Linked DNA regions of Solanum lycopersicum. The protein of the gene in region 1 interacts with the protein of each later gene in a biochemical or structural test. Links are inferred from orthologs where the notes say so. Each region holds a gene or a part of one and is shown on either strand. Other genes may lie near its edges. The genes, in order: increased DNA methylation 2 and methyl-CpG-binding domain-containing protein 7.

Region 1 (9,781 bases):
ACAACATATGCTGTGAAGAGTTAGACATCTAGTGCTTAAATATCCTTTTAGTATAAAACTCAAGACTCTGTAACACAGTAACAGATAACACCAAATAACAAAAATGCTCCCAAGCACTTTATCCTAGGTGGCTTCTAAAGATCCCTTCTTTGATTTCTAGAGCCCCTTCTCTGGTGGTTCTCTGCCATTGGAATCTCTTCCTTTTCTTGCCTTTTCTTTCAGGTAGCATTTACTTGGAACATGGAGTGGTTATATTTCAGACAGAATCTTATGATCTTACAGACCAGTATCTGCTTCAGAGGTATGGTTTCGAGTTGGTGGAGAGTACAGTGATGTCTATCGGACATATGATATTGAGAAGGGGAGCTTTACTTTGGTTATGCAAAAGATTAGAAGGAAGCTTCTGAAAGCAGGGGGAGGGGGGGGGGACTTCAAATCTGAGAGATGCAGAGACATTTCGACATATGTTTATTGCTCCCTGAAGTTCAATAAGTACCATCGATTTATTTCTGTTATCAAACTGAAGGGAGTAGATCAGTAATTATTATTCCAGAAAATGCATTTAACAAGGAACGGCAAGATCTAGTAATAAAAGTGGAAAACTTCATTGAGAGAAAATTAGAGAAGCAAGGAGAATTTATTACAAAAAGGAAATTAAATCTCAATACAATCATTGAGAAGGGGGATTATGAGGCAGCTCTTCGTAACAATAATGTAGCCTGAGCACACCTTACATGGTGCAGTCCCTGACGTGACACTGGCATAATGGATGTCAAAATGTGGAATGAACTTCATCTCCATGCTTTTCAAGTGCAAGGAAGGAAATGAATAGGGGGCAAGCAACTGACAAACAGAAGAGCATGCCTAAGAAGTTGGATTGCACTCCTTCTGGAAGTTATTTTTATATCAAGCCATAAGAATTATGATGACCATAGCATTTCTCATGGCTCTAAACTCTAAAAAAATCAATAATAAATGTAACATCTAAACATACCAAGTATCTTTTGATAAGTGAGTGTGTTTTATGTGGGAATATGTTCTCAGTGTGTTTTATGGAAGCTAGTTGCTTCTTTCTGCAATCCATGTTGTTGACTAGATCACTCGTGAAGAATCCATCAGGCGCACACTAAATCCATGCTTCTATTTTATGGATTTTGATGGTGTTCACAGCATCTCAGTTTAATGTGTAGCTATTTTAATATTTTCATTTTGACATTTTAATATTTCTTTTTTGACAGGTCTCTCTAATCTGGAAACTTCCTGTCTCGATGCTCCTTAGGCTCACCATACCACAGACTGCACCTTCTGAATGGAATAGATTCTGTTTATCTTCCAACATTGCTCTCTGCCCCCTCCTCCTTCTGTTTTCCTGCAAATCTTTTGTGCCATTAAATCATCCAATCTCTTTCCTTCTCTCAGACACCCATTTGCCTCTTTGGTTCATTGTACTTTGTGCTACGTGTTCTTTGGCTGTTGTACATTTCATTGTTGAAAAGGAGGCCCCTAAAACTGAGCAAATGCCTGCAGTTGTTATAGCATTTGTTATGAGTGTATTTTGGATCTCCACAGTTGCTGGGGAACTTCTCAACTGTCTTGCCGTTCTTGGAGAGCTCCTGAAACTGCCTGCTGCCTTTCTTGGTTTAACGGTGCTTGCATGGGGAAACTCAGTAGGTGATCTTGTTGCAGACGTGGCTGTAGCAAAGGCTGGCCAACCGGCCATGGCCATGGCTGGATGTTTTGCTGGGCCAATGTTTAACATGCTTTTTGGGCTTGGAACTGCTTTGGTTATGCAGACAGCAAATGTATATCCAGAAGCTTATGAGCTTCATCTCCACGTGAGTATCGTGGTTGCTTTTGTTTTCTTGCTATTGAGCTTGATGGGATCTTTGCTTTTAGTTACTTGGAATAGGTTCCGGGTGCCAAGATTCTGGGGATTTTGCCTAGTAGGACTCTATGTTGTATTCATGATAATAAGCCTGATCATTGCCACGTTCTCTGCCTGAGTTTTGGAGAGACAATTGATTCATCCATCACTGGTCTGGAACCATGCGGGGGCTGCTAAACTCTTGAAGATGAAGTAGGTGGCAAGTGCGCCTTTGCCACAATATCTAGGAAATGGTTATGTTGATAGCCTTCATTCACTTATCAGTTAAAGATCTTATTGGCTTCCATTCAAGAACATAATAATTCATTTTTTTTTTCAGTTCATTGTGGAGTGAGTAAAGTGAGCTGGAAAGCATAATCCACTGGTTGTATAGTAAATTTCTGGTCAACTAGAAGCTTCATGTAAGCCAGTACATTTTTTCTTGTGAAATTCAACAGAATTATAGAGAAAAATGCTTAACTTCGTATTTATGCAGAACTACTCGAATCATACTATCATTTTTTTTAAAAATAGAGTACTGCTTAGCTCTCTGGATAAAGGTTATTATTGTTGATTTTGTGTTACGTGATCAATTGTCATAATTAAGTAATGTAGATTTTACACCCAGATTGATCTTTAAATGTGGGTCAGCCTGTTTAAGCTTTTTACACCTTACCTTACTTGTAATTGAACAGGTAAGTTGGTTGCATTCACACCAAATTACTATTATCATAGACATAAGCTAGGTTGCAATTTGTAGAGGTACTACCTCCTAATTAACAAGACACTAATTTACCCTATTCTATTGAGAATATGTTTCTGCTTTCAATACGATTCCCTCGAGAATTCCATCAGTGCCAAAAATACCAGAAAATGCTTGAGGGTCAACTGGGCCTGGCAGCTTGAAAGAGATGGTGAAATTTCCTGTTGGACATAGGTTCTGAGTTTGCATCTCGAATACTTGAGAGTACTTGTGGACTGTCCTATCACCAGTTGTCATTCCCTTAATCAATACTTTACCATCAATCTCCACTTCACAAGTAAATTCTCCTGAGTTAACCATAGATTTTGAACAAATTAGTCCTGGTCGAATCCAAAATCATCAGAAGAATGCAGTGCGCCATATTGTAAAAGGATTTGGCAGATCAAATATGTCAACTGGGACTAATTGCAAATTCAGATGTGAAAAATATTTTAGATCATGATTGTAACTTACTTTCATCTCTCTGTACTCCAGGGAGTGATACACGGAACAAGTAAGCATCCTCACTTTCTCCTACATCCAAGAGCCCGAGAACTGGTCCTATCTTACCCTTCGCTGCACTCCCAGCCACTGCAAATCCACTTTTAGTAGCACCAACAATGTTACTTAGCTCCTCCATAGAAGGGCAAGAAGGAAGGAAGACAATGCTAAGCTCTGAGTCGTCAGAGTTGGTGTGCTTTGATGATGGACCCATAGACTCTTCCGCCAGTGGACTGACATCCTTAAAGAGGCTACTAAAAGGAGTATCATCAGATTTTTTAGAGCTATCTGGTGGCGCATCAGTAAACTGGCTGACAGCATCATTCCTCAAGAGACTTCTACAAAGTGTAGTGTCAAATTGTCGATTGCGATGAGGTGGCATATTACTACATGAGCCATCATTCAAGAGACCACTAAAAGGTCTAGTGTCAGATTGTCCATTGCTATCAGGTGGCACACCATTAAATGGTTCATCAGAAGCATCCTTCAAAAGACTAGTAAAAGACATATAGTCAAATTGTTCATTGTCAAGTCGTAAATCCTTAAATGGCTCAGTACTTGAAGGTATCTCCTTATATGGTAGGCTACTAGCAGCTAATGATGCATATTGGAGGATATCACCAGGATTGGATATCTCCTTGTTTCGAATATTAGTTAGAGCTTCGTAATCAACATCGGCTTGTGATTTTGTGCAATCTTTGTCCATGACCAGATGTTCTAGACCAGTGAGCTTCTTGAACCTCTTAACACTATCTGGTTCGATATAACTGGTATCAGGGTCATGGATGAACACAATGTTTGCAATAACATTATACACATGACAGCATAAATGGGGATGCAGGTTGGGAGGAAACAGATCACAGAACCGAGGATAAGCTGCTGGTTGTTTACGGTAAAGAGTAGGAAGCTTCCCATGAAAGTACTGGTGCAGCCACGGTTGTGCCAGGACAACAGACCGATCTGCCTTTCTCAATGCATGATAGTAAACCCTTTCTACTTCTATGGTTCTTAGGCATGAACCAGCTAATTGATTGGAACTGTATGGAGGTAAGCCTAGACCCTTTCTTTGCAAAACTGACCTTTTGGGATATTCTACGGGGATATCTGGTCCAAAGAAGGTTCCAATGATGAAGTAAAGGAGGAAAAACTGATCATCCGTTGGAACCAATCCAGTGAAGTTGTTGTCCATGCTCGATGGAAAGAGTAAGAACTCTGTGATTAATCTGTTTCAGATGAAATGAAACAGATAAAAATATTGACTCTAGACTTGAGTAAAAAACACGGTTGAAACATATACAATGAAGACAGTAAGTAGTGAAAAAAGAAGAAGAAGTAAACACTAAGATTGATGATATGTGATTATAGCTTGAAGCGAGTTCAAAAGATCAATTATATGGAGTTTTTACCATCTATTACCGTATATGGATTTCGCAAACGGAAGGTTGAAATCAAGAATGATTTTGATGGTTAGAACGACAAAGACACACAAAAGGATTAGTAATTGAGATTCTGTAAGTCATCCATGAGGATATTTTTGTACATAAAAAGGGGAGCCTTTTAAGTAAATGCAACAGAGCATTTTCCAAAAATATAGTTTAGGCTGCCTATCTGTTTTGACATAGATAACTTAAAATTGCTTCACTAGACTGGATTTAAGCAGGTACAAACACAAATTAAGAGCAATTTCTACACTAGATCAACACATTGGCAAGTCACATCCACATGCAACAACTCATTGATGATTCTTACATGCAAGAACACTAAAAACATGATAGTACAAATCCAGAATCAGAGAAAAATTGACAAAAAGAAGACATCAAGTGAAGTGTAAAATTAGGAAATACAAAATGTAAAATACAACTCTATGTTTTTTTCCAAAGTGAGAAATCAATAAGTGAAGTGTAGAAAGCATACCACAATGAATTCTCCTTCTCCAGAGAGTAAGTTGAACTATTTGCTAGTGCCACAAAAGAAAGCAACGAGGTTTTTCAGAAATCAGTCATCCCAATCACTGCCACGCGTCCTTTACTTGGTTATGCAATATAATTGGTAAATAATATTATATAAGAATTGTTTTTTCTTATACGGTAAATAGCCTTTAGTTCAAGCGGTTTGATTTTATCAAATTTTGATTTGCTTTTAAAAAAAATGTGCATTGTAAATCAAATTAATTTACTTTAGTTTGATTTTTTTTACTTTAGTTTGATTTAATTTAGTATTTTTAAATCGATTTATGGTATTGACTGAAAAAATAAAATAAGAATAAAGTATAGAATACTTAGAAATTTAAAATTATAATAAGAAATGATATGTCGTGGAATACTTGTTGTATTAATTAAAACACTATATTTATCTTTATCAAGAACATGTTTTTCTTAAAAATTAATATTTAAAGTTAACTATTGAATGGTATATTTGTTGTTGCATTAATTTGTTCATCTCCACCTTTCCCCAATTGTTGTGATATAGTTGCCTTTATCATTAGAAATTAGAGCATAAATTATATATACATATTACAATCTTATTCACCAACTAAACATTTCTTAAATATCAAATCAAAAAATAAATATATACTTAATTTTAAATGATAAAAATATTGATATCTAAAAATATAACGGAAGAATTATTTGTCATTTCTCTCAATAAAATAAAGATACTCCAATATAAGATGATGAGTATTGACATGTTCTATCAAATAATAAATTGACAACTCAACACAAACCATTAAATTTCAGACCAAAAATAAAAAAGAGAGAAGGGTAAAAACAAGATTTGACTAAAGTCTGAACTCTTAAGCGTTAAAAGCCCCATTTTCCATATTCTGAGAAGACCAAAAATTGAAGAAAATCGGGAGCAAAGATGCATTCATTTGGGTATAGAGCTAATGCTTTGTTAACATTGGCAGTCACCATCCTTGCGTTTATGTGTGGAATAGCTTCTTTCTCCGACAATTTCAATACTCCGATTCCAACAACTGAAGTTCAAGTACACCTACCTCCTTAAAAACCCTACTTGAATCTATGTTTTCCTTTTGTTAACTTTGTCGATTGTAATTAGATCTGTTAATTTTGTAAATGACCCACGTGTTTGAACGCTTGATTTTCTGCAGGTGTTGAATATCAATTGGTTCCAGAAGAAACCTGATGGGGACGATGAGGTATTTTCTTTGACGAAAGATTTGTATCTGTCGATTTTGATAAAGGGTTTTTCTGGGTTTTTAGTTTCGGATTAATTTTTGTTGAATTCGGTATGTGAGATTGTAAATTGGGTTCAAAAACTGGTTGAACTATGATGGTTGACCTTTCTTCTTTTTTTTTTTCTAATAATTTCTATTTCAAATTCTTGAATATGGGTATTGCTGGATTCTTTGAGGAATCAGGAATCTATGTGATCTATGTACATTCTTGGTTAAATTTGTTTGCTTTCTCATTTGAGAATGGAAAAATCTTGAGATTTTCTGTTTTGAGGTAATATAACTATAACATTGTTCAATTTCAATAACCAAGTTTGATGCATATATGTACGGACATTCTTTGTACTATCAATTGTATACTCTCCATTATAATACCTTCTCTCTAAAAAAATTTTCAATTTCAATCTAGGAGATCCTCCTAGTTAGGCATGAGTATCAACCTAAATAATCATGAATTGTTAGTTAAGGTTTGAACTAATTTTCTCTAAACCCCCATGATATCACATTGTTCTTGAAAATACTAGTAAAAGTTATGAGTTATGACTTTCTTCACCACTCAAACTCACAGGGATCAAACAGAAGAGAATCAACGAATTCCTCGATGAAATCACAAGTAAATTGGACATAATTCATTAGATAAAGACGACCAAATAAAACAGTCCTACTGTACAGAAAAAGGAACTAAGTCGGCTAACTCCTTCGAGATCCTCTTCTTCTTTTGCATTGTTTGAGTGCCTTGAGGCATTCAACTAAATCTGCAGTTCCAGATTGTAAAGATAAAGCTATCATATGTAATACTATTAACTAATTCCCAATTTCTTAGAGTATCCATTGGTTTTTAGTCTATTTTAAATGTTAGAGTTGCCAGTAAGTTTCCAATATTAACTTCAATAATAGAGGGCTAACTAAGCTTACTAGAGGTGTGCATTGGTCGGGTCGGTTTGGTTTTATGTACTATCGGGTTTTAAATACGTTAAACCAACATCTAATATGTTGAACCACTTTTTTCGGTTCGGTTTAGAGCGAAAGGACCGCAGACAACTTTTGAGTAAAACTCTGGAGGAAAAACAATCTTCTATTAGTATTTTCATGAATCTATGTGATATATGTGCATAAAAAAATAATCGTATGTTTTTTTAGATCTCTTAATCATTGAAATATCATAAAAAAATATGCTAGCACATTATATTGCCTAAGGTGTCAGTTTATTTTCTTTATCTTGTTGATCTACATGAACTTGGTAGCTGCTCTTTTGTTAAGCATTCTTGTTACCATTGTTGGTTGAGTGGTTATATGAACTTAATGAAAGAAGTTTGTCTATATCATGTATACTTTTCCTTTTATGCAGGTCAGTTTGACCTTGAACATATCGGCAGATTTACAGTCATTGTTCACGTGGAATACGAAGCAGGTTTAGTGTCTATTTTATTTGCACCATAGTTTGGATTTCACTCTTTTAACCCTATTACTTGAGTCTGATTTTCTTCTATGTAAAGTATGAAAGTGTGGATGTATCAATCTGTATACATCTTATGCTCAATTAAGCTAATCTCTAAGACATAATATATGTATACTTTTCATCCCCGTTCTGAAACACTGGAGTTCACTAGAGTGAAGGGGAGAGGTGGTCATATTAGATGTTGATGCCACGGTTAAGACTCTGGATTACAGGATGTGGAAATTGGAAAATAGAATGCATTACACAAATTTACGAGGCTATTAGTGACTATATAAACCAGTGTTAGATAGTTAAATCTATGCCTTCTTGTACAATTTGTTGACGTTTTCCCAGTTAGTCCAATGACTTGGTGCAGTATTTCCTCTTTCACCTTTTCTTTTTAGTAAAAATTAAAATGAACTTAAATTATTCCTGTTGCAGTGCTTGTGAGAAAGCTGGTTCTATTTTGTTTCCTCCCTTTTTATTTTCCTTGAGAATTTGGAGGACGGGATTTAGAGTGTCTTTACAGCTTCAGTATACCATATATTGAAATTCTGCTACCTAACATGTGTAACAAGAGACTGGAATATTTCAAAAAGAACAAGACTACGTGCAATAAGTTTCCTAGATTTCTGAATTCAAAGTTTTTTAGTTTTAACTTCGAACACTTTAAGAGATATGTTGGCATTGATCGGTCAGATCTCTGTTGGTTGGATTACCTTTATAGTTACTTCTAGCAACTGTGCAATTCTAATAATGTTTAAAATTTTGCAGGTGTTCGTATTTTTGGCAGCTGAGTATGAAACTCCAAAGAACGCTTTGAATCAGGTCTATCTTCTATTGGTTGAGAACTGCATATAATTAATATCTTCCTTGTATTTCATTTGTTAGTTAGATCTTATTTGAGGCTCGTGTCTTTGTCTGATAAATGTATTGCAACTGAAAGTAAGGCTTAGCACAGTATGTATCAACATATCTGCCCTTTGCTTCTCCTTGTAAATCAACGGTCCTGTACTTTGTTGTCAGTGATAGGATTTTCCTGTAAGTATGAATGTATGCTTAGTGAAGCCTCGTGGGGCTGTCTTCTCCAAATTTGAGGAGCAGGCTTTAGAAGCTCCAAGGATACGTCAACTCATTAATTTTTAGGACCTGCTTGAGAATTTGTTTTGTATTTTGTTTTCCTACCCGATGAGAGTTTGGTATGATTCCTTCTACTGACCTGATTGTTTTACTAACAGATATCTTTGTGGGATGGTATTATTCCCACCAAGGAACATGCAAAATTTTTGATTCACACCACAAACAAGTATCGGTTTGTTGATCAGGTTAGTTTCTGAAGCATTTTGCCTTATTCTGCTTTCTTCTTTATCTCATGATTTTCACAAGTACCTAATTCCTTGTTTGTAGGGAAGCAACCTCCGTGGTAAAGCTTTTAACCTAACATTGCATTGGCACGTTATGCCAAAGACAGGGAAAATGTCTGCGAACAAACTTGTGATGACTGGTTACCGCTTGCCAGAGACATACAGATGATGAATTTTTTCCTCGGTGCAATTTACCTGTAACTTTAGCCTCCACTGATAAGTAGGGGAGAATGTGCTTAAATGAGATGAATAGGATAATTTTGTCCCGGATAATGTCAGGATTGCTGTTTATCGGCCTCAAATTATAATATTGATACTTTAGACCTTTGATATTATGATTGTTTTGTGTGACTAAAACCACCATTATTCCCTTTCTTTTCCGGGTAGGAGATGAACAATCAATATTGGAACGAAGTGATTGAAGTTGGAACTGAAAAAAACCTTGTGGAACGTAGCTAATAGTGAAGTTCCCAGCTGCAGGCCATTTTTATCAGTTGAGAGTGTAATAAGTGAAAAGGAGACTTGTTACTGTTAAGTAAAGGAAGATGTGATAAGGTTATGATGAATCAGTTGGAGGTCATTGAGGAGGATGAAACAAAATAACAATGACAACACTATACGGGTTTTGCGGAAACACTTGTAAAGCAACTAAGAGAGTGAAGTTTATCATCAAAATACC
Region 2 (9,804 bases), on another chromosome or scaffold:
GGCCATGGCTAATTGCGCTTTAATGCTTTTGTCTCGTTTTAATAACAACACTTCATCATCATCAGATCATCATCACATTAATGATTTTGAATGCAAGACTTGCAATAAACGCTTCCCATCTTTCCAAGCCTTAGGCGGTCATCGTGCAAGTCATAATAAAAAGCCAAGATTAATGGGAGAGTTTCTTGTTGAAACCAACAAAAAGAATAAGATGCATAAATGTTCTATTTGTGGTGTGGAGTTTTCTTTAGGTCAAGCATTGGGAGGGCACATGAGGCGTCATCGCGATGAAATTAATAAAACGATAATACCAGTGTTGACCAAGTCCAATAGCAGCAAGAGGATTTTTTGTTTGGATTTAAACTTAACCCCTCGTGATGATAATGTTGTTGATTTCAAGTTATCGCCAATTGCATCTCCTGTTCTGAGAATTTTTATTTAATTACTCCATTATATATTCTTGTAAGATTAATTAGAAGAAGAAGCTGTAATACTTCAGTTGTTAATTCATTCATTAGTTCATCCCCTTTATATATTGCAGTAAATCGTAATTAGTTTACGGAATATATATATAATCAAAATTCTCTAAGGCATGACATGAGATGACATTCAGGTCAAATTTGATTTTTTCGCTAATTATTTGACATAGGATAACACTTATTTGAATTTCGAGATTATTTTTATGCAAAAATTTATACGAACATCCGTTAAGACCTTATCTGTGGAGTCGGTTGTCACCACAGTCAAATTAGCACATTTTCAAGGTTAGACGAGCAGCAGAGCAGGTAAACCCCTTATTTTTCAGATTTTAATATGCTATAGTCCACCATCTTTTTCTGGTCATTCGGAATTTTGAGATCATTTTTGCCAAAAATTTACATGGACGTCCGTTAAGACCTTATCTATGGTGTCGGTTGGTCACCACGGCCAAATTAGCACATTTTCAATGTCAAACAAGCCCTAAAGCGGGTAAACCCTTTATTTGCCAATTTTCGTGTGCTATAGTCCACCATCTTTTTTGGTTATCCAGAATTTCGCAATCATTTTTGCCAAAAATTTACATAGACGATTCTTAAGACCCTACCTATTGAGTCGGTTGGTACCACGGTCAAAACGATCCATTTTCAAGTTCAAACGAGCCCCATGTAAGCCCCCCACTTTGTCGATTTTGGTGTGCTATAGTCCACCAACTTTTTTGGTCATCCGGAATCCCGAGATCATTTTTGCCAAGAATTTATACAGATGTCTATTAAGATCTTATTAAAGGACTCGGTTGGTCACCACGGCCAAAACGATCCATTTTCAAGATCAAACGAGCCTAGAACAGTTTAGCCCCTCATTTTGCCAATTTTCGTGTGCGATAGTCCACCATCTTTATTTGTGATCCGAAATTTTGACGTCATTTTTGCTTTCATGGACGTCCATTAAGACCTTAGTTATAGATCTAGTCGGCCCTAACAATGAAAACGGTCCATTTTTAAGTTCAAACGAGCTCCGGAGTGGGTAAACCTCCCCTCTCATTTTACCGATTTTCGTGTGCTATAGTTCACCATCTTTTTTGGTGATCCGAAATTTCGACGTCATTTTTTCAAATTTTTTCATGGACAATTGTTAAGACCTTAGCTATGGAGCCAGTTGGCCCTGAAGGCCAAAACGACCTATTTTCAAGGTAAAACAAGCCCCAGAGCATATAAACCTTCTATTTTTACCGATTTTATGTGTGCTATAGTCAATGGATTTTCGGTGATTTAGAATTCCGACGTCATTATTTTTCAAAAAAATTTCATGGATGTCTATTAATACCTTAGCTGTAAACCTAGTTGGTTCAGATTGCCAAAACGATCTATTTTTAAGGTCAAACGAGCCTCAAAGCAGGTAAATCTCCCTTTTTGTTGATTTTCGTGTGTTATAGTCCATGTATTTTTTATCATCCAGAATTTCAACGTCTTTTTTGCTGAAAATTTTCATGCACGTCCATTAAAACCTTACATATGAACTAGTTGGCCTTGATAGCAAAAATGGTGACTTTTTATTTTTCGATTCTTTTTTAAAAATCTATCCAAACGAGCTCTAAATGGAAAGTAATAGGAGGATGGCAAATGAGATGATATCAAATTGTCTTTTTTTTTTTTTTATGTTGTAAAAACTTAAACAATATATTTTTAAAATATAATTAAATACACTATATCAAATATCATTGCATTCGTCACCATCACCAACCTAAAAATAAGTACTATTACACTGTTGCTGCTAGTTAATTAGTGCTAATTAAGGAATTAGCACTAAACCATGTTGGTTGGTCTTTAGGTCTCAACTTGTGTGTTCCAAGTCACTGCTTTCATCACCAAGAAAGTACTTAGTTCAAATGGCACAATTTGTCCTTTACAAATCGCTACGCCATGTGTTTTCAGCAGCCCCTCATAATGTCAATCTTAATAGTCTTTTTAAATTAGATGTCATATTTTATATTCAAAATTTAAATTATTTGTATTTGAGTTCATATTATAAAATATATTTGTAAAAGAAAATTCATAATTTTATATTTATTATTCATTTATTTTATAAGAAAACATAATTTATAATTGATATTAATTATTACTCTAATCAACCTTTAAAACATTTATGTTGGATATAATCACTGTTCTCATCAACCAAATTTATTGTTGATATTATTATTCTTACCAACTTTTGAATAATTTTTAATATCGGACCTCACCAATCACATTTGGAGTTGATATTATTATCTTACCAACCTTTTAAATTATTTACATCGAGGTGTGTGAAAAGATCAACAAATATTTTAAAGATAACTTTATGATTGTGGTAGAGCGTCCGCTCCTACTTGGAAGTGTTGTAGAAAGCTCAAAGAAGGCAACAATACATTAATTTTCCGCTCACATGAAATGACCTGAAATATTCCTTTTAACGCGTTACCACATAGAGTACCCTACCTACCCCTCACTTAAAATCATTTGATTCCTTTTTCACTAGTAAACTACTATTCCGTTGAAATATTTTAATAATTTTTTATAAGATTAACGAGCAATTTATATTTAATAAGGGTGATATCTATTTTTATTTGTCATGATTCTTTTTTAAAGTCAAACGATAAAAATTTTAATTAACATTTTATGATATATTTTTTTAAGATATTGATATTTAAACTTTTTGTTTAAAATATCAAATTGATATAATTTAATTTAACTTTAAAAATTAGTCAAATTAACTTTTAAAAGACGCCACATGATAAATAAAAATAAATAGAAAAAATAATTATTTTTTGTCTAAAATCAAACAGTATAGTTAAACAGATAAAAGTATCGATCTCTAGTATTTCTTTGACTCACTTAACCTAAAGTCAAACATTTTATAAAGAATAATGTGATGCACGTTTTTTAAAAAACACGCCAAGCTTGTCTTATCTCTTGGTATAAATTTGAAGCAAAGAGAAACCAAATGTGTATCCTATTCTTCACTTCAAATTTCAAAAACAACTTTAATTTGTGTCGTCTTTCTTGATAATATGAAAAGAAGCAGAGAAGAGAATATGCAAATTGAAGCAGAGGCCATGGCTCACTGCGCCTTAATGCTTTTGTCTCGTTTCAACAACAACACTTGTTCATCGTCATCATCAGATCATCATCATCATATTAATGATTTTGAATGCAAGACTTGCAATAAACGCTTCCCATCTTTCCAAGCCTTAGGCGGTCACCGTGCAAGTCATAATAAAAAGCCACGATTAATGGGAGAGTTTCTTGTTGAAACCAACAAAAAGAATAATAAGATACATAAATGTTCTATTTGTGGTGTGGAGTTTTCTTTAGGTCAAGCATTGGGAGGGCACATGCGGCGTCATCGCGATGAAATTAATAAAACGATAATACCAGTGTTGACCAAGTCCAATAGCAGCAAGAGGATTTTTTGTTTGGACTTAAACTTAACCCCTCGTGATGATAATGTTGTTGATTTCAAGTTATCGCCAATTGCATCTCCTGTTCTGAGAATCTTTATTTAGTTACTCCATTATATATTCTTGTAGGATTAATTAGAAGAAGAAGCTGTAATACTTCATTGGTTAATTCATTCATTAGTTCATCCCCTTTATATATTGCAATAAATCGTAATTAGTGTACGGAATATATATACACTTAATTATTAGTATTTTTTTTTTTTTAACATACATAGATATTTGAAGTTGTCATAAAAAAAGAATAATGCATGTGACTAGTAATGTGTCATGAAAACAATAAACAATTAGCAATATATATATATACAAGTAATAAGTGGTGTCATGTTTAGAAGAGGCATACATGGAGAAACAGAATTCCTTACGCCGCCACCGAAGCGGCGCAGAGTACCCAACTTCCGGTCAACTAACGGCGTCTTCCTCGGCGATTACTCCGTACAGACCTTTGTCCTCAAGGTTTAAGTTACCCCCTGGTTGGGGTATTGAACAAGTGCTTCGCTCGAGTGGCGATCGAGTTGACAGAGTACACTTTTCTACTTTCAACTTAATTCGCTATTCATTTCTCACTAGTTATTATTTTCTTAGTTGGTGAAAAGGTTAAGTAGTAAATTCATATTCTGTTTTAATCAGATTGTGAATCATTTATTCCAAAGTGGAGCTAAATTTGAGTAGATGTTCACTTTCAATCATTTGAAACTAACGTTATTTTAAAGGTTTAGTGTTGCTTGAGATATGTTAGGGTTTAGAATGCTTTGCATTTTAGTGACTCTAGCGAATGCATAGGAGGAAGGATTACAGAAGCATGTATGTATAGGAGCCGAAAGAGCTCAACTCACTTAATTTTAGAGAAAGCAAAATCTGTTGTCATGGAATTGGAATATAATAGTGGACAAATGTCCCTGGGGAACGAAACTTACATGGTAGTATAGCTGACATGTAAGAGAGAGATATGAATGAATATGACATCTTTAGGACTTTTTCTCTCAGGTTATGCCGTGCGTGCGTGCGTGATCAATGTATCTCTACTTTGACGCGTCGATTTTGACCTTCAATTTTACAAGTCTATCACTGTTTTAGATCATTTCTGGTGCAAATAAACATAGACAGCAGAGGATCAATGATGAGTCCTTGCTACTATAATTACAGATATGGCATTCAATTCCAGATTTCTAACCTAATGTCATTGGTGGAAACCTAACGCTGAGCATCTGTGTTTACACAATGTGTAGATATCAACACCTCAAAAGATTAAAGCTGATTTTTGGATTGGAAATTTGTAACCTTTTGAGTGACCTATACATGGTTGGCCACCTTCATTCAGTTCGATGTGATGGAGCTAAATTTTTTTCCTATCCATGTGTCGGATTAATTATTAATTATATAAATGCCAATTATGTTTTAAAGCATCATACTCGTTAGCACATACATTATATTTTCATGCAGTACTACTATGAGCCTGGGACTGGACAAAAGTTCAGATCATTGAGAGATGTCGAGCGACGATTGAACGGTGAAATATTTGCTCCTAGAAACAGGGCATCGGGAGTGAGAAACTATCCTAAGGCAAGTTAAAGAATTGAATATTTCACAAAGATTTAGTAATATCGCTAGTTTGATGATGCCTGAGTATGAAATTCCTCTTTTTTTTTTTACTTGGTGTATTTATCTGTTCTGGTCATACACGGAGTATTCGTCTTTCACAGAGTTCTCTGTCTCGGAAGATGGTCATCTGCGATGGGAAGGTACTGCACTTTGGCTCTGAGATCTTTTACATAACTACTTCTTGTGGATGGTATGTGTTGAATCATTATTTAAGTAATATATTTTCGTTAAACTTTATTTACATTTTTTTTTCTTGTGTTTTTTTATCTTGGGGTCGGGACAAGGGCAGCTGGAAGAAGAGGGTCATATTGTTGCTCTTCTTCTCCCTATTGTTCTTGTAATTGAAAATTGTCAAAAAACAATATACTTGTTTTTTCAGAAGAAAACGAATTATGCTAATTCGTGTGGGGAACTTCTAGTCATTTAACCTACTAAAAAGTAACTCTGAAAAAATATAGTCCAAATTTTCGGTCTAATGTTGGTTAGTAAGATTCTGAATCTTCTCCTAGTAATTGCAACAGCAATCTCAAGCTTTTAGTGTAGTGAAGGCCTTGGGAACTTTGAAGTCTGTGCAGAATACCAATTTCTCACTGTTATCGTCGTTTTGTTATGATTTTAAAAACTTTAATCATCACATGATGGTGCCTTTAGGCAAGGTGAAAGATGTATTCTGAATCAAATAGGAAACTTGATAGTTGTCATTGGATTAAATTTCAGATCGTTAGAATGGATGAAGAGCAGTTGAATGAATGGGCAATTGTGCCGTCAACAAGAGCAGCCACCTTACCCTATGACCTTCCTGATGGTTGGGTGATAGAAGAGGTACCACGTACAGACGGAAGCAGCATGGTGGATAAGGTACGATCTCATGTCCTTCAGTAGTGAATTTGTTTCATCTATCTACCTCTTGATATCAGCTGCTGTAATGTTTGCTCAAATTGGCCCAATCAGATGTGTCTAATAAATCGGGGTAATTTTTAGATCGGAAGTAACATCTCTGGCAGTTTGTGAAGTATAGTTTTCTTAGGTAAGAGAGCATTCCTCTAAGGGTGGATAGCGGATGGTGAGGCAGGGTTGGAGTAGAATTATCCTAAAACTTTGAACTCTTCTCATAAGCTTTTCCTAAACATTGTAGAACATGTCTCGTGATTGAGATTCATTGATATGTGCTTCATTTTGCACGTTTGAGAGAGTGCTATTTGAGCATGCTCTTGCTTTTTACGCAATTATCAGGAGAATTACTATCTGTGACAGGCATTAGGTGCATTAGTAATTACCTTGCTGATCTCATATAATCGACATTGGCGGACCAGTCGTGGGGTGCACCCTGACCCTAGTGTTGTCAATTGATGCCACTTTGTCAAAATGTTATTTTACTAAATATGTATGTATTGAAAACAAGCAAAATGAAAATATCGGGTGTAAATTAGAAAAATGACACCGCATGTCAATATAGTAACTAATTTATGTGTTCACTTTTTAAATGTTCACACTGTTTACGAAATATTCTGCGTAAGCCACTGTGGAGAACTAGATTAGATTTTACAACCTTGCTAGAAATCTAAGTGAATTATTTTAGTTTATAGGACTGTATAATCCATCACATGTGGGCACAACATCATAGTTCCATCCTTAAAACCCTGACGGATGTGCTAAGACCTTCTCCACACCGTGTGGAAGGACCACATATGAGGTAGGGGTAAGGTCTGATACACTCCACCCTCTCCGAACCCCACTTTGTGAGACTACACAGGGTATGTTGTTGTTCTGTGTTTCATCTATTAACATGCTGTTCTTGTTCGTTTGGGATATTATTTCAACGACTACTCCGTTTCTCCTTTTCCTTGTTATGGAAAGTGCCTCTCTGATGAAATTGTAAACTTTTTTTTTTGGTCCTCGTGTGCAGTATTACTATGAACCAGGTAGTGGACAAAAATTTAGATCCAGGATAGCGGCACAAAGATACTTGGCTCAAATGAGAGAAAATGTTCCTTTGTCCGCTACTCTAGAAGAATTGAAAGAGAATAAACCACTGTCCAAGATGTTTAAGTTGTACCATCATGCAAAGGTGAGCTAATATCATGAAGGGCAATATAAGCATGACATTTATTTTCTTTTGATGTCAAGAATATGTCTGCTTATTTGCCTTTGTAGAAATCTCTTCCATGTAAGAGGAACATCGTTACAGAGAATTCGGACAATTCATCGTTTCTTTCTCCACCAGCAAAAGTAAATTGGGTTCTTTCTAGTCCTAAAGGGGATGCTTGGAATCCTGTGATTTCTGGAACACCTATTCCTGATTCACTAAAACAACAATGGACTAAAAGATTCAAGTTGTTCATGAATGACGAGAACCTGAATGCAGAAAAGTCAGACTAGAAAGGTAAGTGAAAGCACTAAAGCTTCAACTCTTCTATACTCCCTTTCATATACTATATATGTATATTTCCTCTGGAGGTAACGTTTCCCAACAAACATGTGGAAGCGCACCTGAACACAGCTCTCTGCATTTGTTTTCTTATCCTCCTTGCAGGCACTAAACGGAGAGAATGCAGTTGTTTACGCTTCAAGAAAGCTCGGACTGCTTCTGACCTATGAGAATTGGATGCTGAATCTTGTACATACTAACATTATGCAACTCCTTAATCACTTTGCTGTTTAACCACTGTAGAGAATCTGTTGTCCTGTTTATTCTGTGTTTGTTCATGTGTTGTATAACAATTCGACAACTTTTTTCTTATGGTACATGTTCAAGTACGGATGTACAATTAAAGTTTGTCAGTTAAAGGCAGTATAGCAGCATTTAGTATATATCCTGATAAAAACTTGCTCAAGAAAAGAGTTTCGCACTCTTACAACGCCAGCACACCTGTTAAAACTCTCTTCGGTACTACAAATCGAGCTTCCTAAAGAGGTGCTTTCTGGACTCGATTCACGTCTGCTCTAATGTGATAAAACACTCCGATTTAGAGTTAAGCCAACGGTAGGAACAACTCAAAGTTGCTAACTGTGAAAGTTACCAAGAATTTGGGCAACCCTTGGCACCATTCATAGCACAAGTTAAACAAAATGCTAAATATTGAAAGTTACCAAGAATTTGGATAACAAAAGACTCTATGCTTAAATAAGGAAACTGTCCACCCATGATGTCTTATTTCCATGTTATATCTCAAAGTCTACTCTAATCAAACTTATAATACAAAACATAGAAATCAAATGCCTACAAATCTTTGAAAATACTCTCTATCTGTCATCAAATAGATAGCTTATGCTATTCACTCACCAAGAAGCATTCACATCATTTAAGAATGTCATCTTCCAGATAAGTGGAGGGACAGATTGTCCCTCAAAACTGAAGCAGTCTTGTCGACAGATTTACAGACCTCTTGCCGGTATCCCGGGTCATGAAGATGAGATGATAGAGGCAACTCATCCAAGACATCATCTTCCATGTCAATAACAATGTTGTGAAGAATGCAGCATACAAGGATAAACCTTGGTAGCTTGTGCTTGTCAGGTCTCCACATCATTCCATGAATCATTTTCCAGACATCTTTCAGCCTAGCTAAGGCCCTCTGTGCCACTATACGAGTTGCTAAATGCCTTTTATTGAAGTCAGCTTTAGATTCTGAAAGTTCTTTGTCTTGATAAGGAGTTAAAAGCCAAGGTAGCAAGGCATAACCAGAATCACCAACGATATATTCCCGTAGTTCTGTTTCTTCAGACAGCTTCATCTTGTTTCCATTCAACCTCTCTCCTTTCTCGCAGAGTTTAAATAATGTTGAGCTCTGAAGCACTGAATTCTCGTTCAGCTTTCCTGGCAATCCTGTGACAACATCACGGAACCTCATATCAGGGTCAACAACTGCTTGCAGGACCATGCTGTGGTTCTTATTTTGATCGAGCCATACGTCAGCTGTCTGCTCAGAGGAAGATAACATCATTGTGATGTGTGTAGCATCAATTGCACCACAACAGTTTGGAAGTCCTTGAATTCTTTCAAACTTGGACTTTATTGCTGTCATATCCTCTTCTGTTGAAGGCCACCGTATGTGGTGAAGCCCCTTTTCCTCAATAGCCTCTATAAAGCGCCAAGTTACTTGAGATACTGTCGAGTGGTGTGCACCAAACGAGTCGCCCACTGAAATTAGAGAATTACCTGAGCTCAGCCTCCTCATAGCTAACGCTACTTGCTCATGCAAAGACATGGGCTTGCCACTTGAAAACACATA

The links.
Region 2: the proteins of increased DNA methylation 2 (region 1) and methyl-CpG-binding domain-containing protein 7 form a complex in vitro, tested with the Arabidopsis thaliana proteins (2 studies listed by BioGRID). The link is inferred for Solanum lycopersicum from reciprocal best matches to the Arabidopsis thaliana genes AT1G54840 and MBD7.

What each region holds. Positions count from the first base shown.
Region 1 is NC_090800.1:85,087,945-85,097,725, reverse strand, and holds increased DNA methylation 2, read right to left. Parts: upstream 5,133-9,781; 5' UTR 5,022-5,132; intron 4,331-5,021; 5' UTR 4,297-4,330; coding exon 3,081-4,296; intron 2,948-3,080; coding exon 2,667-2,947; 3' UTR 2,426-2,666; downstream 1-2,425. Other genes in the region: cation/calcium exchanger 5, read left to right, coding at 1,239-2,003; signal peptidase complex subunit 3B, read left to right, coding at 5,967-6,092, 6,217-6,264, 7,649-7,711, 8,513-8,566, 8,977-9,063, 9,146-9,271. UniProt on the Arabidopsis thaliana protein: Prevents DNA hypermethylation and transcriptional silencing of transgenes and of some endogenous genes. May act as a molecular chaperone of IDM1, regulating its H3K18 acetylation activity.
Region 2 is NC_090810.1:61,668,450-61,678,253, forward strand, and holds methyl-CpG-binding domain-containing protein 7, read left to right. Parts: upstream 1-4,199; 5' UTR 4,200-4,313; coding exon 4,314-4,493; intron 4,494-4,957; exon of another isoform or gene 4,958-5,407; coding exon of another isoform or gene 5,408-5,413; coding exon 5,414-5,533; intron 5,534-5,673; coding exon 5,674-5,712; intron 5,713-6,289; coding exon 6,290-6,430; intron 6,431-7,478; coding exon 7,479-7,640; intron 7,641-7,699; exon of another isoform or gene 7,700-7,726; coding exon 7,727-7,951; 3' UTR 7,952-7,955; intron 7,956-8,105; 3' UTR 8,106-8,383; downstream 8,384-9,804. Other genes in the region: zinc finger protein ZAT11-like, read left to right, coding at 1-442; protein ALP1-like, read right to left, coding at 8,884-9,804. UniProt on the Arabidopsis thaliana protein: Transcriptional regulator that binds CpG islands in promoters where the DNA is methylated at position 5 of cytosine within CpG dinucleotides.